Linked DNA regions of Drosophila melanogaster. The protein of the gene in region 1 purifies or fractionates together with the protein of each later gene. This does not show direct contact. Each region holds a gene or a part of one and is shown in the gene's direction. Other genes may lie near its edges.

Region 1 (5,166 bases):
TCATCGAGCCAAAGGATTACGGGCTTACTAAGCAGCAAAGGATTTCCGATTACCAGAAGCAAAATGCGTGTCTCCTCGCTGTTCGTTGTGTGCGTGGCCTCCCTGGTGGCCACCACTTTGGGTCGTCCTGAGCCCCCATCCCCGTACTCCTACCACGGATTGCCTCAGCAGCAGAGCCAGCGGGCTTTGCCACTCAATGGTAAGTGGGCGGAGGATGAAATAGAAACATTATAGGAAATTAAAGCGAAAAAGATTAAAGCTATTTATGTGACACAGATTTTTGCTAAAGTCTTATGAGCATGACAACTATTAAAGATTAGATTAAACATTGATTATAGTAATATAATTCAGCAAATGTAGATATATTAACTCCATATATTTATCTTAATCTTATTAATCTTTCTTTTTGGACAGCTCACCCCGTTCCCCCGCAGATTTACCAGCCTCTGCCCCAGGAGCAGTCGTTTGCCAACTTTGCACCGCCCCAGCAGACCTACTTGCCACCCCAAATGCATCTGGATGCCATCGAGCAAGTGGCTCCCACTGCCGCCGCCGCTGAGCCCCTGAATGCCTACGATGACAGCTACAACATGGCCCACCGCCTGTCCGGAGTGCAGCATGCCAGTGGCTACAACAATGGCCCCCAGGAGACCAAGGTGCACAAGCACATCTACGTCCATGTGCCGCCAAAGGACTTCGAGGAGGAGGATGCCATCCAGACCCGAGTTCACCACCAGCAGGGACCCAAGCAGAAGCACTACAAGATCGTGTTCATCAAGGCACCATCTGCTCCGGCTATCCGTCAGCCAGTTGTGCCACCACCACCCCAGAATGAGGAGAAGACTCTGATCTATGTGCTGCACAAGAAGCCCGAGCAGGAGCAAGATATCGTGATCCCGACGCCACCACCCACCAAGCCATCGAAGCCAGAGGTTTACTTCATCAAGTACAAGACCAAGAAGGACGAGGCCCCCGTCTATGGACCCCCACCTGCAGAGATGGAGCCCCGTCAGGCCACCGCCGAGGATTTCGCTCCATTGGCTGAGGTCGCCGATGTCCTGCCACCCACCACCCTGGCTCCTGCTCCCGAGCCGGAAGTAGAGCAGCCAGCCATTCCCTCCGCGGTCTACGGACCACCCACTGCAGCTGCCTATACTGGTGAGGAGGTTCAGACCACCTTGTCCGCTCCTGCCAACCAGTATCTGCCCCCTGCCACCGCTCCCGCCGCCCTGGCCATTGAGGAGCCCTCAATGGCGCCCATCGTGGTGGAGGAACAGCCCGAGCAGCGACTGGCTCCTTCCCATGTGCCTGCCACCAGCTACGGTCCTCCCAACCGCTACTTCCTTAAGAAGCTGAAGTGAAGCCCGCTGCTTTGAGATGGTGATGCCTTAGCCAATTTCACAGTTTGTCATAGTCTAATGTCCATTGGATGCACCTCTTCCCAATCCCCTGTTCCCAATTCACACATGCACACGTGCCAAACCTCCCCACATGCACATCTCGTTGTTTGTTCGTTTGTATAACTTGTTACATTTGTTTTAATAAAGAGTAGATAATAAATATCAAATTTATAAAAAAAAAACTAAATGGCCTTTTAGTGTGGAATATTCCTCAAAAGTTTTATACACTTTCTTTAAGCTTAGTAAATGGTCCAGTTAATTCGGATAAAACACAGTGGAACAACAATGGATTTCGCATTTCAATGATTTAATGATGGCTCATGCCGCCTAATATGATAATTGACCCTGTGTGAAGTCGTGACCTTGGCAAATTTACAGCCTGCTTAATTGCGTTACGTTTTGTTGATTTCGGCTGTAGGCCCAATTTCGACGGCTTTCCTCATTGCTGTGCTCATAGAAAAATCGTAAAGTAATGGCCAAAATGGCAAAGCACTTAGAGGGAAGAGGCCGGAGCAACATGTTGCTGAGACTTCCCGCCAAAAGCAACAGTTGCTGCCTGCGCAGAGCTATGTTGCAACATGTGGATGGAAAAGCCGGGAAAAGGAGTACGAGGAACTGCCTTTCGGGTTCGTGCCCGAGTTTCGTGGCCGTTTGATCAGTCAGTCCGGATGAAAAATCCGGCTGCACACTCAGTTCGCTTTCTGTGCTCGCGCGAGTCGCATCGTAGGTGGGCGTGTTCCTTCACTTTATGTCGGTCGTCTCCGTCTGGTTAGCGTATTCAACGTATTCAAACTTATAAGCCCATTGAAAACACTCGGTCCATTCAATTTAGCGAGTGGTCATAAGCAGCGAAAACACTATCGGTAAACGGTAAACAATTAATGAATTGCGACTTTAATCACGCGTCCAACAGTGCGTATACGCAATACGAAAAGTGAGTGATTGCAAGTGAAATTGTGGGCCATTGTTTCAGGTCATTACATCTGGCATTGGCATTGACATTGGCAGTCTCGACGACGTGCAATCCCCTCGAGGGTAGCTCCAGTCCAATCTCAGTGCCTCGCTGCACCAGGTGAGTTGTAATGAGCTTTGTTTACCTGCTAATCAGCTTGTCCTCTCCGCCGGCAAATGGCTTGTTGTTTCCGCTTGTTAGCATTTGGCTGTGTTTCACACATCTGGTCGCTGGTTCGGTTCTGGTGGGGATTAGCTTCCGACACATGACTATATTTCACGGACGAGTTTTAGACCAACATTCCTGTTATAGTCAATATATTTTGGTAACACCTGGCTGATGTGCCTAATTAGATTTATCAGGACACGAGCCAGTCACTTTAACTCAAAAACTGATAAAAATGAAATTTCTCAACAAATTTGAATTGCATTATCCTTATGCCTTTCCGGCAGCATCATCAATCAGCAGTTTCTTGTGTTGCAGCTGCACAAGTTTACTTGGACATAAATAACATAACACATACGCAACGTTGTCCATGGTGTCGTTGAATGTGTTGCATGAAATGGACTTAAGCAGGTCTTATCTCCTAAGTTTTCCATCCATTTTGCTTTCGTTGACAACCATGCCTGGCCGGGCTAATTGTAAATTATGCAGGATGATCCGAAATTGGAGCAGTTTTTAGGTCTTTGTCCTTTCACCAACTTTGTCCTTGTGCGCTGCCATTGTTGCACGTGATACATATATTGTTATTAAATTCTCTCATTTTATTGGGGGCTTCTTCAAGGCATTGCAGCCTTAGTGAACTCGTGTTGTACTTAAACGGTTATACGGCTTTAGCCTTTTTTATCTTATTTACCGATTCGCTTATATTTAGCATTTGTTTTAGCTGTTGTCGTTCGGTTAACGCAATATGCCATGGTTTTTACTGTTTGTTTGCCGCCATGTTGCGATTCTGGTTTATTAATTCGGTTTAATTCGTTTATAGTGTTCTCAAATTAACGCCAGCAAAATTATTGTAACTGGATTAATCAGTGAGATTTTAGATAAAAGGGAGCGATTAAAAAATTAAAAGAACTACAATAATTTAAAAGTATTTATTTCCATAAATATTTGGTCAGTTAGGAAACAAGACATTTTGCTTTTGTCTTGAATTGATACCATCAATTGGTATTTGATTTTGTAAGTAAACAGCTTTTAGCAAATAACACACAGTGCAAACAGTTCATAAGTAAATAACTAAACAATTCGTTGTAAAACATTGTCGCATGACATATGCCGTTTGATTAGATAGTTAAGATATTAAGTGTGCAGTATATATTACTAATAGCAGAGAAAAATGTTTGGTTGCAAACAATTGAAAACATTTTCAGCAAAGTAAAATGAGGAAGCAATCTTCTCGAGTGGCTGCATCATATGTTTTCGGTGACGTTTTCATGTCTGTTTTATTTCCTAGGAATTGTTTTTTCATTAAAGCACTTAAAATATAGTAAGATAACAAAAGAAAAAAAATGACAATAACAAGGACAATTTGTTTACACTGAAAATATGCACAAACACAGCGGCGATACTTTTAAAAAGTTTACGGTGTGTAAAAACGTGAAAATTCTAGTTCAGAAGGGATAATAAGTGTGTGAGGTTATCTAAAACGGCTTTCTGAATAAACAATCAAGATGCACTTGGTCAACCCGGCTTTTAATATTGATAATTCTTTTGCCAGAAGTTTACCCTCGGCTGAGCAAAGGAATTTGTTTGACTGCCAAAAAGTTTCAAGTCATCGTTGCCTTTTCAATGCAAAGAGGAATGCAATGAAAGTTGGGATCTGTGATTTTTCCGGATAAGTTAACGTTCCAATAAAATGCAATTAATTTGAACTAGGAAAAAGACATTTTCTTTGCTTGCTGTCACTTTTTCCAAAGAGGCTATCAAAAGTGTGACCCATTGAAAATTTTATGAGAATTTAATCATACCAAACTTTGTTTTAATAAATACAATATTTTCGGAGAATGAACGATTTTTGGGCTTAAGGGCTCCATTTAACCTCTTTCAAAAAGCAACAAATGATGCAGGGCTCTTTTCTTATGTAAATTCAATAGTTTTCGTCATCGGGATGTGCGGAAATTTAGTTGGGAGTGTCCGCTTGAAAAAGGGGTTAAACTAACTGATAGAAATATGCAAATCACTTGGCTCAATGTGTGAATTCAACCGAGGGTAACACAGGTTATTCTTTGATGTAAGCATTATTGTAATTCGGTCTGTCTTGGGATAAACCCTTTTAAGTTGTCCCTTTTATTGCAGCCTTACATGGCTACAATGTTGTTTGCCGATGATTATTTAAGCTCTAAAAATAATACTATTGCTGAGTCACTTGCCAGTGGTTTTTCTCATATATTTTCTATTTGCCACTTATAAAAGAACATATGTAAGTTCTCTGAGATAAAGTCTTTACTCTTATCAATAGTTACAAAAGTGCTAATGGAGCTGCAATATAAAAGCGGGAATTGCATAGAACAGTTCTCATTGTAGGAATATAAGAAAATGGAGTTGCAACTAGGACGGATGTATTACGAAGGTGAGACCCCCGTCAAAGGAAAAATTATTTAAAAGGAGCTCACGAATATTTCCCAATTTAGTGTTTTGTATTTCGGCATGGATATGTCTGATGCGTCCATCTTTTGGATCCATTATTAAGGACTCTGTGAAATGTACGGAGGGTTCAGTAGCTGCTGACATTGATGACTGCGCCAGCTACTTTCAGTGTATCGACGATGAAACTGTGCACCTAAATTGTGCCAATGGAAGTTATTTTGAAGCTAG
Region 2 (2,968 bases), on another chromosome or scaffold:
TAGATGTGGTGGGGGTGGGGTTAGTATCAATGTCTTCTATTTTGTCGTTGCTGTGGTGTTGATGGTGTTGGAGTGGTTGGTTGAATGGTAAGGTTTTTTTTGGCTGGTCCAGTTGCTAGTGTCTTAGATGAAGTGTTCTGTGCTGCTGATGTGGGTGTGTAGTGCGGATTTTGGTGATGCGATTGGGTTGCATTTATGTGAATATTAGGTGATTGAGTGTTTGTTGTCCTCTGGGCTGAGCCGTTTGTAAGTGTTTTGGCATAGGTGTCTTTCGGTTGGAAACCGTGACGTTCAAAATAAATGCGTTGGGCAGTTTTATGGTCAACTTTTTGTGTGGTTTTAATAGCTGTTAGTTCTTGGATTTTTATGAACGTAGGGCATTTGCGGTCAATTGGGCTGTGTTGATGGTCAAGTTCTGGGTTGTTTCGGCAATTTAAGCAGTTTTTTTTGTTTGTGCATTTCTCTCCGTCGCTTGTGTGTTTTGTTTCTGAGAAACTAATGCAAGTTTTTTCACATTTTCATATGGGTGTTGGATGACCGAAGCGGAGGCATTTTTGCATCGAAGTGGGAGTGGGATATAGTCTCGTACTCGGACTGTTTCGTAACCGATTTGTACTATCTCAGGGAGCTTATGCGACTCAGAGGTTATAATTATTAATACAGTTTCAACTATAGTGCTGTTGTTGGTGTCAGAGTTAGAGTTGGGGTTTTGCCGTTTCATTATTTTTTTAGCTTCAGTTACTTTTTGTGGTTTTAGTTCTTGTAGAATTGTGTCTTCGTCGATGTGTTTAAGGTCGTTACAATAAATAACTTTCTTAGAGAAGTTTAATGTTTTATTTTCACCAATTTTTTTTTTTTGGTTTTTAGGTGATGCTCTTTCGAAAGAGTTGTTGTCTTTCCCTTTAATAATAGTAAATTTAGGTTCTCTTAATTGGAATTGTTATTATTTTGGGGTAATTTTCTAAATGTTTGGTGGGCCTGTCATAATTGTTGGTTAAGGGCTTGATCCCGGGTTGGAGGTCTTGTTGTTTTTATTGTTGTGTTTTTTATTTTCTCTTTGTGGTTGATATTTGTTTATCAAGATTTTGCTGATAAGGGTTTTGGGCTTACGCGAAGCGAGGCTTTAAACTGAGTGGCACGACTTATCTCTTCGGAGGTTGAAGTGATACTGTCATTATTTAATTAGTCTCGTATATTTCTATCGATTTGCCAAAAACAAATTTTTTTGCTAAAACCGCACAAATTATATATAATATATATCTTATTTATTATATTGTTATATCTATTTTATAATATCTATTCACTATGCGTTCTCAATTACACGGGTATGGCATTCTCTCTTGTTTTTTTATATAATGCACAGGTCGTAAATAACTTTGTTTTTTTTTTTATTTTTAGTACCCATGTCTGTAATAATCCTTATATTCTACCATGCTTGGGTATAAGTTCTTCAAAAATGGCTTTAGAAATTATTTTCGATCTTTTATTACGTGTAGGTACTGTTACCAAATATTTGTACCCATGTCATAATAATCCTTATATTCTACCATGCTTGGGTATAAGTTCTTCAAAAATGGCTTTAGAAATTATTTTCGATCTTTTATTACGTGTAGGTACTGTTACCAAATATTTGCTTAGATCGCAGATGATATTGACTGTATACTCATTTCCATATTCTGGAAGTGGAGCAATTGTGTCTATCAACACTACACACTATTCTCATGCTGGGGTTTCGGTTATAGTCAATAATACAATTTTTTTAATTGCCTTAGAGTTCTAGAAATTTCTGAGTGAGTGACAAATGATCGTCATTTAATTTAAACAGTATTGGTTTACTTTGAACATTATCTCTTTTTTCTATCTTCGTCCCCTTGTTATTATTGTCTGAATTTTTAAGTATATATAATAATAATGAATGAATGTGTAAACAAATTATTACATTTAAAGTTTTTGTTCTATTTCATTCTAGGAATTCAAAAACGCCCAGTTTTTTTTGTTGCTAGTCGCTATGGACGAAGTACTACATATGATGAAAGTTTAAAATCCAGACGCATTTTCATCGTACCTCGAAACGAGCATTTCTTTCTTGGCTCTCGGTACGGTAAACGAAGCGGCAAATATTTATGTCTTTCGAGGGAAATAAATAAGCTGATAGTCAGAAAAAGATTACGAAACAATGATAAAGAACGAACTCCAACTTTAAGCTTTATAACCAAACACTTTCTGATGCGAAATACTTAACTAGTATATTAAAAGAAATTTCAATGTAGAGACCGCCAGTTATTGATTGACCAATATTCTGAGTTTGTAATGGCATTCGACTCTGACATGAATGCCAATTACTAATGCTTTTTGTTAAATATAACATATAATAACATTTTATAACATACGCCCTCGGCGTTTTATCACAACGAAGGAAAACTGCTAAGAAATAAACAGGAAAAATAAATCTATTTAAATATTATTAAAAATAAAATTGCATGTTTTTTTTTTTTCTTTTTTATATAAAAAGAAAGTTCCCGAATTGTTTGAATGATATATGGAAACCAGGTCAAACATCCTGTGTGTTGTAGAATTTTATAATGCTTGGATCTCCTGTACCGAACTACTTGTATTACTCCCCCGAGCAGATGCAGCTTGGCGATCAAGCACCCGCTGGTTTCGGCTACCAATTTTTGATAGATTTAGGGAGGGGAGTAATTACCATCGTCACTACTCGCTCGGCACTTATTTAATGCGGGTGCTAGGATTGATCTACACAAACAAACGGGCTATGGGACTAACGGACGATAGGACTAAGGACAAATAAGGGCATACCAACATCTCACGACAGCAGCTATAATGCTGTCCACGTTAACATAAAAGGTTATCCCTACCAGAATGATATACTTTACACTACATATACCCTCAGACCTATGACTCCCCTAGGGAAATTCATTAAAAAAAATGAAATATATTAAATGCGTAT

What was found.
Region 2: the proteins of RYa-R (region 1) and RYa fractionate together in Drosophila melanogaster (co-fractionation; one study listed by BioGRID). This does not show direct contact.

What each region holds. Positions count from the first base shown.
Region 1 is NT_033777.3:26,994,871-27,000,036, forward strand, and holds the start of RYa-R (RYamide receptor), read left to right. Parts: upstream 1-2,109; 5' UTR 2,110-2,472; intron 2,473-4,881; exon of another isoform or gene 4,882-4,887; coding exon of another isoform or gene 4,888-4,921; intron 4,922-4,982; coding exon of another isoform or gene 4,983-5,166. Other genes in the region: TwdlC (TweedleC), read left to right, coding at 64-199, 415-1,361; CG31077 (uncharacterized protein), read left to right, coding at 4,888-4,921, 4,983-5,166. UniProt on the Drosophila melanogaster protein: Receptor for the neuropeptides RYamide-1 and RYamide-2. The activity of this receptor is mediated by G proteins which activate a phosphatidyl-inositol-calcium second messenger system. RYamide signaling may suppress feeding behavior.
Region 2 is NT_033778.4:3,645,486-3,648,453, forward strand, and holds RYa (RYamide), read left to right. Parts: upstream 1-1,860; 5' UTR 1,861-1,911; coding exon 1,912-2,241; 3' UTR 2,242-2,280; downstream 2,281-2,968. UniProt on the Drosophila melanogaster protein: Neuropeptides RYamide-1 and RYamide-2 are ligands for the G-protein coupled receptor RYa-R. May suppress feeding behavior.